Ovis aries: one gene and its partner. The protein of the gene in region 2 interacts with the protein of the main gene of each other region in a pairwise test. Links are inferred from orthologs where the notes say so. Each region holds a gene or a part of one and is shown on either strand. Other genes may lie near its edges.

The links.
Region 1: the proteins of SDCBP2 (region 2) and FAM133A interact in binary tests that used the Homo sapiens proteins (3 or more experiments, as listed by UniProt). The two-hybrid records come from large-scale screens. The link is inferred for Ovis aries from reciprocal best matches to the Homo sapiens genes SDCBP2 and FAM133A.

Annotation. Positions count from the first base shown.
Region 1 is NC_056080.1:140,887,806-140,893,495, reverse strand, and holds the start of FAM133A (protein FAM133A), read left to right. Parts: upstream 1-2,485; 5' UTR 2,486-2,895; exon of another isoform or gene 2,896-3,046; intron 3,047-3,201; exon of another isoform or gene 3,202-3,423; intron 3,424-3,689; 5' UTR 3,690-3,759; intron 3,760-5,690.
Region 2 is NC_056066.1:59,463,928-59,468,886, reverse strand, and holds part of SDCBP2 (syntenin-2), read right to left. Parts: intron 2,803-4,959; coding exon 2,644-2,802; intron 1,862-2,643; coding exon 1,686-1,861; intron 1,607-1,685; coding exon 1,435-1,606; intron 1-1,434.

The sequences.
Region 1 (5,690 bases), on a different chromosome or scaffold from region 2:
CTACTTTTTCTATAATAAGCAACACATTTTTTATAATGAGGCAAATATTGTAGATTTTTATAGCATGATACACTTTATTTGACATTTCTTTATTTTAGGTTGCAATAGAACATGAAAAATAAATACCAAATGATATAAAGTGATCATTTCCAGTGAAAGGCAAAATAGAACATATTACAAAGAAAATGTGGTTAGTACCTTTAGTTCACAGTTACACAGGATAAGATGAGCAGAATTTTTAAAAAAATGCTATGTTATATTAACACCTCAGTAGTAAACAGTAACTTCATTATCCTTAAATTTATAAATCACTATGTCACATTAACATGCTCAGTCATATCATACATGGTTTGATGGACATTATTAAATGTATGGTAATCTTTTTTCAAGCAGTCAAATTTCACAATGCACTGTTCAAGATAGTATAATATTGTATTTCTGTAGCAAATGAAAGCACAGCTAGTACAAAGCAGATTTAAAGCCTTAGTCTTCCAGTCTGGGAAAAAAAAAAAAAAAAAAAAACACTTGCATTGATATTTCAGGAACTTTGTTTTATTTCAAGGAAATATTGTCTTGGTTAACAATTCTTACAGTTTTCACAGCTATATTGTAATAGGAACACAACAAAAAATTTCACAAAAATTAGAACCTTGTAGCACCAAACAACATGCTTTAGACAACTGACAGCAAGTTACACGTTTTGAAGAATATTACACAACAACAGGCTAGATAGAATTTAAGACAATTTAAGACAATATTTTAGGCTATGAAGAAAGTACAAAAACTCAAGACTATGAGGAATACTAGTGTTGAGATTACAGGGCAGGTTTTTTCAAGGCTATATAAACCTGTTTCATTTCTGCTTGAAATTTGAGATTCCTGAAAATTCTTTCATGCAGCCTCTTTTATATTTTCGTTATTTCCTATTTCCATAGTCTTTATGGACTCATAGGTACCATTGACTTCTCTTGTATAGTAATAGATTGATTTCAGGATGACGTTATCATGCAAAGTTTGACCAATTTCAAAATCTTCATCAAGGATAGCATCTTCTCGTGGTTCAAGCTTTCCGATAGTAGGAATCTCAGGAGGGCTAAAGATATTGAAGAATGATGCATCAGGAACCACTCTTGGCTGGGTTTCAACTTGTCCAGTAGCTGCTGTGCAACTCTGGGTGGTTGTCATTGTAACATCCTTTCCTCTTCTCCAATCTTACAGCCTTTGCAATCTTGGATTTCCCAGTCCCAAGAGAAGAAGGGATCATTGTGATCTGGCTTTGACTTTATTATATATCTCTTGGTCAGCACCTCATTCTTGAAGTATGGATTGGGTAGAAAGCAAAATTCAAATGTGTAACTTACAGGCCTGCTGGGTTTTTAAAACTTCAGGCTAACATCAGACAGAAGTTCAGAATGGGCTCATCATACTTCTGAATCATGGGCCCCAGCTTGTCAACATTCTTGAACACAGTCAGCCAATAGTCAGGAATGCCTTTAGGATCTTATCTTTTAGGCTTTCCTTTTCGAGCTCTTTTAAGAGCTCTATCTTTAGGCGTGACCTCAGGAACTCTTTTTGGAGCCTCTTTTCCTGGAGTCCTTGCCTTAGCCTCTGCTGCTTTAGCCTGCCCTTTATCTTCTGCCTTTGCCTGGAGGGCTTATTTTGGATCTTCTTTTACTTCAGGCCTGGCCTCCAGAGCATCTTTGGACTGTGCTTTTTCTTCAGTCTTTGCTTCGGAATTTTCTTTTGGTGTTACATTTTCTTCAGCCTTGACCTCAGGTTTTGCTTCCAGGTCATCCTCTTCTTCCTCACTCTCTAAAGCAGGCATCTCACTAGAGTCTTCCTGCATCTCTTCATCGCTGCTGAACACCTCATCCTCCGAATTCCATTCACATTTTTCTTCCGTGGGCTCATATTCTGCATTGATGATTTGGAATCGCCGGTTGTACAGAGCCCTATTGAGTTCGGCATATTTTCGTTCGAGATCATGAACTGCCTTTAAGAACAGGGCGTCTACCTTGTCACATTCGTCTTGAATATTTCTGAGAGCCTGCACACGATTTCTAACCGCCCGAGGCAGCTGATCCACGAAACTTCTACCTGACGGAGCCCGCCTCACACTTCTGGAGGGCCCAGGTACACTTATACGTCTATAGAATGGGCTGCGGCCACTGCTGCTACTGCAACTACTGCTGCTGCTACAGCTGCTGCTGTCAGATTCGTCCCCAGAATCGCTAGACGAGATAGCTACCATCTCTCCATCCACCCCCTGGGCGGCAGGTTCCGAGACCCTGTTAGGATCCGCTTCTGCCATTCTGCAAGTCTGCAAACCTCTTAGGTGGTCACTACCGCGTGCCCAGAGATGGGTAGAAAATGACTCACGGATGCTTGGGTGGTGGCGGCGGAAGCCGGGGCTGAGGAAGTGGCAGCGGTGAAGGCAGCAGGAGCGCTGGGCGGGGCGCGGCTGGGCCGAGGTGACTGCACCGGAGGTGGCGGCGGCAGCGGAGGCCTGGGCGACAGTGGTGGAGGCAAGGCCTCTCTGACCTGCAGCTGCGGCGGACTGAGGTGTGACGCAGCTGAATATCGCACTGCGAGAGCCCGAGATCTCTTCACTGCTTACATCTTGAGCCCCCTCCCCTCGCAGTCAGACCTCCAGTTCCTTTAGTTCCCAGTGTGCCTTTAGCTCGCACCTCATTTGCTAGACAAACTTGATTGACCTTGATTGACAATGCATCAGCCCAATAAGTGCGCAAGCACACCGCCGCCTCTAGGCTCCGCCTTCCTTTCCAGTCGCTCCTTGGTTGCTGAGGCACACACCACTGAAGACTTTTTTCCCCTTAAAATTCTGTCTTTATAGTTTTATAATTTCAAAAAAAAAAAAAAAAGCTTAGATATGAGGTAAAAATACTAGTCATGGTTCCTAACAAGGGAAGAGGAGTACGCTCCCATCCACTCATCCTTAATTCCCATTTGGTTTGTCAGGGGCCTCGTGACAAAAAGCTGTTCTTAAAAAATTGGAAGAAAATGCTCCAAATGGCATCATTGGATAGTATGATTATGGATTTCTTTTTAAATTCTCTTTCTTTTATCTGAATGTCTTATGAGCATGTATTTTTACACTGGGTAAAAAGGGGGAGTCGTTTATTGGCGAAGGGGGGAGGGGCTAGAAAGCAGGCATATTGAATTCCACGTAGCAGCTTTAATAAGTGCTGTTTGTGATGTTTGGCAAGCCTGTTTTATATCCATCTACAAGGTTTGCGAACCCATGTTGCCGTGAGTCAGTTACACCATTTTTTTTTACTGTATTTCTCTTTTTAATCTGACATGTCATAGACCCTGTCCTTGCTGGTGATTTGCCACGTAGTCTTTCTCCATGCTTTTAACAATCTTGTAGATAAAAAGGATAAACGGGCATTCAAATGTTAGGTAGTAGTATTTAAAAGCAGATGGTTTATTCTATACTTTTGTGGCAGCAGCTTTTAATTTCACGAATAGCAGGATGGGAGGGGGAATGTGTTGATGAAACTGCATCCTCTGTCAGGGTGTACTTTACAATGGCATCTGCCACCAGTTTCCTTCTAACATTGTACAATTCTAGCCATACTGAAGTATGATTTACAGGTTCAGTAATAGATGAATACACTTTTGCAAAATGAAGTTTAAAAACAGGTATCTGTTATTTTTATTTACAGGATTCTTTTCTGCAACAGAACGACTCCCTTGGTACAACCAAAAAGACCAGTGTTTACTTTTCATTGAAAGGTAAGGAACATATTTAGCCCATTTTTATGAATGACAAGAATTACCTATCTATATTTAAATAAAAATTCACAAGATGTAGCCTTTTATTTGGAAGATATCTTGTTAGTTCCATGGAAGCAGAAAAATCCACAGAGGTGATTTGGAATACTAATGTAGAAAATAACCTAATTAATCACATTCACTTTTCTGAACTTGCTCATAGACTACAAGTAACAAATTAAAATATAAAATATGATGAATTATTCATTTCAAATGAGGAAAAGTATTAAAGTTAGATTACCTCTTATCTTTCCTTTTTATTACAGAATTTGTGCTTATTTAGTTGTATTTTTTAAGTTAGGAAACACTTTTATTTCTATTTTATAAATGAATTTACTTTTATTATTTACTCCTGATTGTCAAAGTATGTAAGTATTGTAAGGAAAAATACAGCATAGAAAATTTCAATGGTAATACAAACACAATCAAATGATAACCACTGTTAGAATTTTGATGCATTTTCTTCCAGAATTTTCTTTGTAAATATATACATATGCCTGTTTACACATGCTGTTTTATCTATGTGACATCATATTGTGTTTTGTAATCTGCTTATTTATCAATTAATTGTGGCTATATTTTCACAGTAAATGGTTGAACATCTCATTTTTAAATAGATGCATATTCCATGAAAATATTTCCCGTAGTTTAACCAGATTCCTATTGTACAGCAGCTACTTATACTACCTCTCTACTAGTAGACGTATTTTTCCTGTTAGAAAATAGTTATCTCAGATACCTACTCTATGCACTTGTAAAAATTAGCCATATGATGAATTCCTAGAAATGAGAGTCCTGAAATAAACTGCCTGATCATTTTACTCTTTGATACATAGTGCAAAACTTCTCTCCAGAAAAAATTATCACAATTTGCAATTATACCAACAATGCATCAGTTCATTTATTTAGTCATTCAACTATTATATTTTTGTGCCTGCCATGTGCCAGGCACATGTGGTAGAGGAAGATGATATAAGTCTCACTAAAACTTACTGGGTGCATATCCTTTCATTTTTATAATTTTAATTAAAATATATACTATAGAAACAATGATTTAAATCAATGAAGCTATGCTGTAAATATTGTTCTATAAATTATTATTTTCCCTTAAAATGATGGACACATTTTGTTAATGAAGGAAGTTATATTTTATAGTACTTTAATGGTTTAATATACATGTTAAGTTTTGTACCAACAAGAATTAGTATTTTGGTTCTTTTTTAATTTTTTAAATTTTTTTATTTTACTTTACAATACTGTATTGGTTTTGCCATACATCAACATGAATCCACCACAGGTGTACATGTGTTCCCAATCCTGAATCCCCCCTCCCACCTCCCTCCCCATACCATTTCTCTGGGTCATCCCAGCACACCAACCCCAAGCATCCTGTATCCTGCATCGAACCTAGACTGGCAATTCATTTCTTATATGATATTATACATGTTTCAATGCCATTCTCCCAAATCATCCCACTCTCTCCCTCTCGCACAGATCCAAAAGACTGTTCTATACATCTGTGTCTTTTGCTGTCTTGCATACAGGGTTATTGTTACCATCTTTCTAAATTCCATATGTATGCGTTAGTATACTGTATTGGTGTTTTTCTTTCTGGCTTACTTCACTCTGTATAATAGGCTCCAGTTTCATCCACCTCGTTAGAACTGATTCAGATGTGTTCTTTTTAATGGCTGAGTAATACTCCATTGTTTATAATAGCCAGGACATGCAAGCAACCTAGATGTCCATCAGCTGATGAATGGATAAGAAAGCTGTGGTACATGTACCCAATGGAGAATTAGTATTTTGAAGTAAGCAGTGAGTTTGGGATTCAGACTTTTTAATGTATTTTTATTAGCTAGTTAATTTTCTGAGTATCACTTATTTGATAA
Region 2 (4,959 bases):
AATAGGTTGCCCCTTGAGTGAGGGTGGCAGGCCCCCAGCTCAAGCAAGAATGTGGGCCTCCCATCTGAGGCTCTCTCAGTAAAACAGACTGACCTCTCCTACCCTCACCTCAAGGGCCTATGTGGGCCTGACACCAAAAGGCCTCACGGACATGACTTCCCCCAAAGAGCCCCGGGAATCCCACCAACCACATGTGTATGCCGTCTCCTGGGCCCCAGTCACACCAGGATTCTGACCTCAAAGCAGAAAGAGAACCACACTGCAGTGGGGGGACAAGGGGGGACAGTAGGCACACCCACCCACCCTCTTCTCTGGGCTCCTGTCAGCCTGAGCCGAGGCCGTGGGGTACCTCTTCCTCTTAATCTTGTTGACCAGCAAAAAGAAAGGCCTGCAGAAGCCGTTCAGATTGTGGGGAGAACAAGACACAAGAAGCACCTACAGAGAGTGTGCCGAACAACCCAAAGCTGAATGCTAACGCACGAGCCGAGCCTCTGGCCCTTACCTGGAGACCGTGACCTTGACTTTACATAGACCCCCGACTTGGCTGTGTGTTTTCCTAGCTGTGCCAGGATCAGTGGGAGAAGATGTGCCAGATGGGACCAGACCGTCAGGCACAGGGGAGAAGATGTGTGACAAGAGTGACCTGGGGATGGCCCTTATGAGGGAGGGGGAGTGGCTCACAAGACTGTGTCATCTGTGGGATGAGATGGCAAGACCCCCCAGGCCACCTCCACCTGCCTGCGAGCCCCAAAGCCCTGGATGCTGGAGTGGGGGGACCCTCACTCTAAATCACAACTGGAATTAAGAACCGCTTTCAGTCCTGGTGGCATCAACCAGAATAAACCGCTCTCATTTGTCCAGGGACCAGAAGCCATGTGACTCATCCTCTTCTGGGGTCCATTCCCCGAAGGCACCCACCCTGTCCCCTAGTCTACATCACAGCACTGGCCCCAGACCATTTGCTCCTTCTTGTATTTAAAGATAAAACTCACCACACACACACACTGTTGGGGAGAGGAAAGAGGTAGGCAATGGGCTTCTGAAGAGCCATTTCCTAAAATATTCCTATTAGTGAACATGATCCAGGATACAAACCGAAATATCACACAGAGTAGTCCATGCAGCCAGGAGCCCCTCACCCCTGCCCCGGACACCTGTTTCCTTACACACGTCATCACCGCCACCACCACTTGCTGTCACACCTCTGGCCTTCATGAGTAAGTAACAACACCGAGCATTTACTGAGCACTCAGTGTCTGCACTGTGCTCGGAGCACTTGTACCTTTGTCTCATTGAATCCCTGCAGCAGCCTTAGGATGAGGATCTGAAGCTGGGTGGGGGCGGCAGCCCACCCACAGACACGAACCTTCCCACCACCTCTCAATCACCCAGTCCCTGAGGTCCTGGGATGGAGCCATGCTCCGCCTTGCTTACCTTCAGCCCGATGACGTTTTGCCCATTCACCTCACACACATAGTGGTTGGTGAGAAGCCCATTGCGGGCCGCAGAGCTCCCTTTGACCAAAGAGATGATCTTCCCCTTCTTGATGACGAAGCCGACGTGGCCTGTGCTGTCCTTGTGCATGGTGATGGTCCGCTGGAACGGCCTGGCAGGGAGGGATGGTGAGCTGGGCCTGGGGCATAACCAAGGGCAGACAGACAGGCTCCTGGGACCCGGGTGCTCACCTGTCCCGAACGACTATGACAATCTTCTCGGCAGATGCCTTCTTCACCACCTGGTGGGCTTTGTCTGTGCTCCACCCAGCACAGTCACGTCCATCAATCTGCAGAATCTGGTCCCCAAAGCGCAGCCCCACCAAGGATGCAGGGGTGTTGGCCTGGACCAGCTGCACGAAGAGCCCCTGGAGGAGGCAAGCCCCCCAGTCAGTTCCCCCAGCCCAACCTGAGCCCAGGTGCCTCCTCCTGGGCTGCTGTTTGCCTCCTGATCTTCTCAGAGCCTACTGGGCCCTGGGACTGCAGCTCTGTACAGCAACATACAGGGTACCCCATTTTCCTGGTGAGGAAGTGAGCCACACAGCTAGGAAGCAACGGAGTCAGGAATTCAGGAGTTTTCCCAGTATCTCAGATGATAAAGCATCTGCCTGCAATGCAGGAGGCTCGGTCAATCCCTGGGTTGGGAAGATCTTCTAGAGAAGGGCATGGCTACCCACTCCACTATTCTTGCTTAGAGAATTCCACAGACAGAGGAGCCTGGCAGGCTACAGTACATGAGGTCACAAAGAGCTGGACGTGGCTGAGTAACTAACACTTTCAGGAATTCCAACTAGTGGTTGCATCCCCAGTCACTAGACTACAAGGCCTCTCATGCTGGCATCTGAACCAACCCCGCCACACCCTTCGCCTTACACTGTCTTCAGAAAGCCTCCCAGAAGCCAGATCCCTGTGAGTGGGGAGCAAGGAGGCATGAAGTCCCAGGAGGGGCAAGTGGAGGGTCCCTAGCACAACCCAGAGCAAGCCCAGAGCAAGCGCCTTATGGGAGGCGATGGAAAGGACGAGCCTGTCTAGGGCTCAGGTGAACCTTGGCTCCCCCGGGCAGCTCGGGCCGCAGGCAGGCGCAGTCCAGCACGCAATCTCTCTCTGCGTTCCGCGGGGCCCCTCCCCTCCCGCCCGACCCCAGCCCCACCTTGTCGATGGCCTGCAGCCGCAGCCCGGTCTTGCCACGCTCGTCCTTGCATAGGTGGATCTCGCGCACCCCGGGCTTGATCTCCGCACGCAGTGCGCCCAGGCTGTTCCCGGACACCGGCGCCACCACCTGGCCCGGCGATGGGCCCGAGACCGCTGCCTGCAGACCACAGGGGAGAAGAGGTCAGCCAGCGCCGTGGGGCCTCGTGCCTCAAGGGTCCAAGCGTGGGAACAGGGATTGGCAAAAGAGAACCGGGTGGACCCTGAGCTCCAGCCCACCGCAGACCACACACACACCTCTTGCGAGCAAGAGGACACATGGCGCCATGAAGCCGCTAGGGGGCGTCAAAGTCCACACCCCAAAAAAACACAGCCAGGAAAATAGAGCCGGGAGGACAGGTGCGTATTATAGAAAAAGGGTCTTCATTTTCCAAGACAACTTGGTGTCAGAAGAACCTTTTTAAATCCACTTTAAAAGATTCACAGAAAATCGTGAACAATGAGGGGGTAAAGGAGCTCAAGTTGATTTCTGCCTTGAAAAAAAATTTGTCAAAAGTATCAAGATGAGTGAATACTATTCCCCCCATCAAAAGATCTGGAACAAGGCAAAGATGTCCACTCCCACCACTACTGTTAAATACAGTAATGGAAGAACTAGCCAGATTAGTAAGGCAAGGACAGGAAATAAAAGACATATAGATTGGAAAAGAAAACATAAAATGGTCCCTATTTTCAGATGAGACGATGCTTTACTAGAAAATTCCAAAGAATCTACAGATCAACTCCTAGAACTCATAAGTGAGTTCAACAAGGTCACAGGACACAAGACCAATGCATACCAAAAGAATCAATTGTACTTCTATATACTAACAATGAATACGTGGAAACTGAAATTAAAAATACAATACCACTTACAATCGCTAAAAAAAAAAAAGAAATACTTAGGTGTGGAGCTAATAAAACATATACAGGAATTGTATGCTGGAAATGACAAAACACTGATAATAGAGATCAAAGAAGTGAAGTGAACTGAAATGAAAGTCGCTCAGTCGTGTCTGACTCTTTGCAACCCCATGGAATGTACAATCCATGGAATTCTCATCACATCATCATATGATATTTCTACCTTTAGATAAAAACTGAAATAACCTCAGTAGGATAGATATTAGTAGAAAATAGTGACGTTATTAAAAAGATAAATTTTGAGTACTCATTACTGTTGTTTTTAATATAGTGTATTGTGAGTTTGATAGTGAAAGTCACTTAGCTGTGTCCAACTCCTTTCACCCCATGGATGAATTCTGCAGGCCAGAATACTGGAGTGAGTAGCCTTTCCCTTCTCCAGGAGATCTTCCCAACCCAGGGATTGAACCCAGGTCTCGCGCATTGCAGGCAGATTCCTTATCAGCTGAGCCACAAGGGAAGCCCACAAATACTGGAGTGGGTAGCCTTTCCCTTCTCCAGCGGATCTTCCTGACCCAGGGATCAACCCGGGGTCTCCTGCAGGCGGATTGCAGGCGGATTCTTTACCAACTGAGCTATTGGGGAAGCCTGATCAAAGGTCTAAATAAATAAAGAAATATTTTGTATTGATGGATCAGAAAAACTAGACGAAGCTGTCAACTGTCCACAAATTGATATACATATTTAATGCATTTCCTATCACAGTCTGTATGTTTTGTAGATAGAGGCAAGGTTAATCTAAACTTTACATGAAAACACAAAGGAACTAGAATAGCTAAAACTAGTCTGACAAAAAAGAAAAAAACAGGAGAAATCACTCTACCAGATTTCCAGACTTTCTGTGTAGCTACAGTCATCAAGATAGTGTGGTACTGGGGAGAGACAGACCTTTGGAGCAGAAGAGAGAATATCCAGAAATAGCCTCACACAAGTAGGGGCAACTGCTTCTTAACAGAGGTGTGAGAACGATTTAGTGAAGACAGAAGAGCCTTTTCAACAAATGGCATGGGAGCAACTGAACAGCCACAGGCAAAATATGAATCGTGACCTCATGCCTTATGCAAAGATTAACTCAAGTTCAATCATAAATTTAAACAAAAAACTATAAGAGTTTCAGAAGTAAAAGGGAAATTTTTTCAGAAACCTAGAGCTCAGTCAAGTTTCTTAGGACACCAAGGCATGATCCCCAAAGAGAAAAATCAATAAATTGAACCTCATCAAAATTGAAAACTTTTTGTTCTCCAAAAAACTCTTTTAATACAATGAAAGGAGGTGTTACACAGTGGGAGAAAAATATTTACGAATCAAATGACAAAGGACTTTAGAATAAGGTCTCGAAAGTTGACTTTAAAAA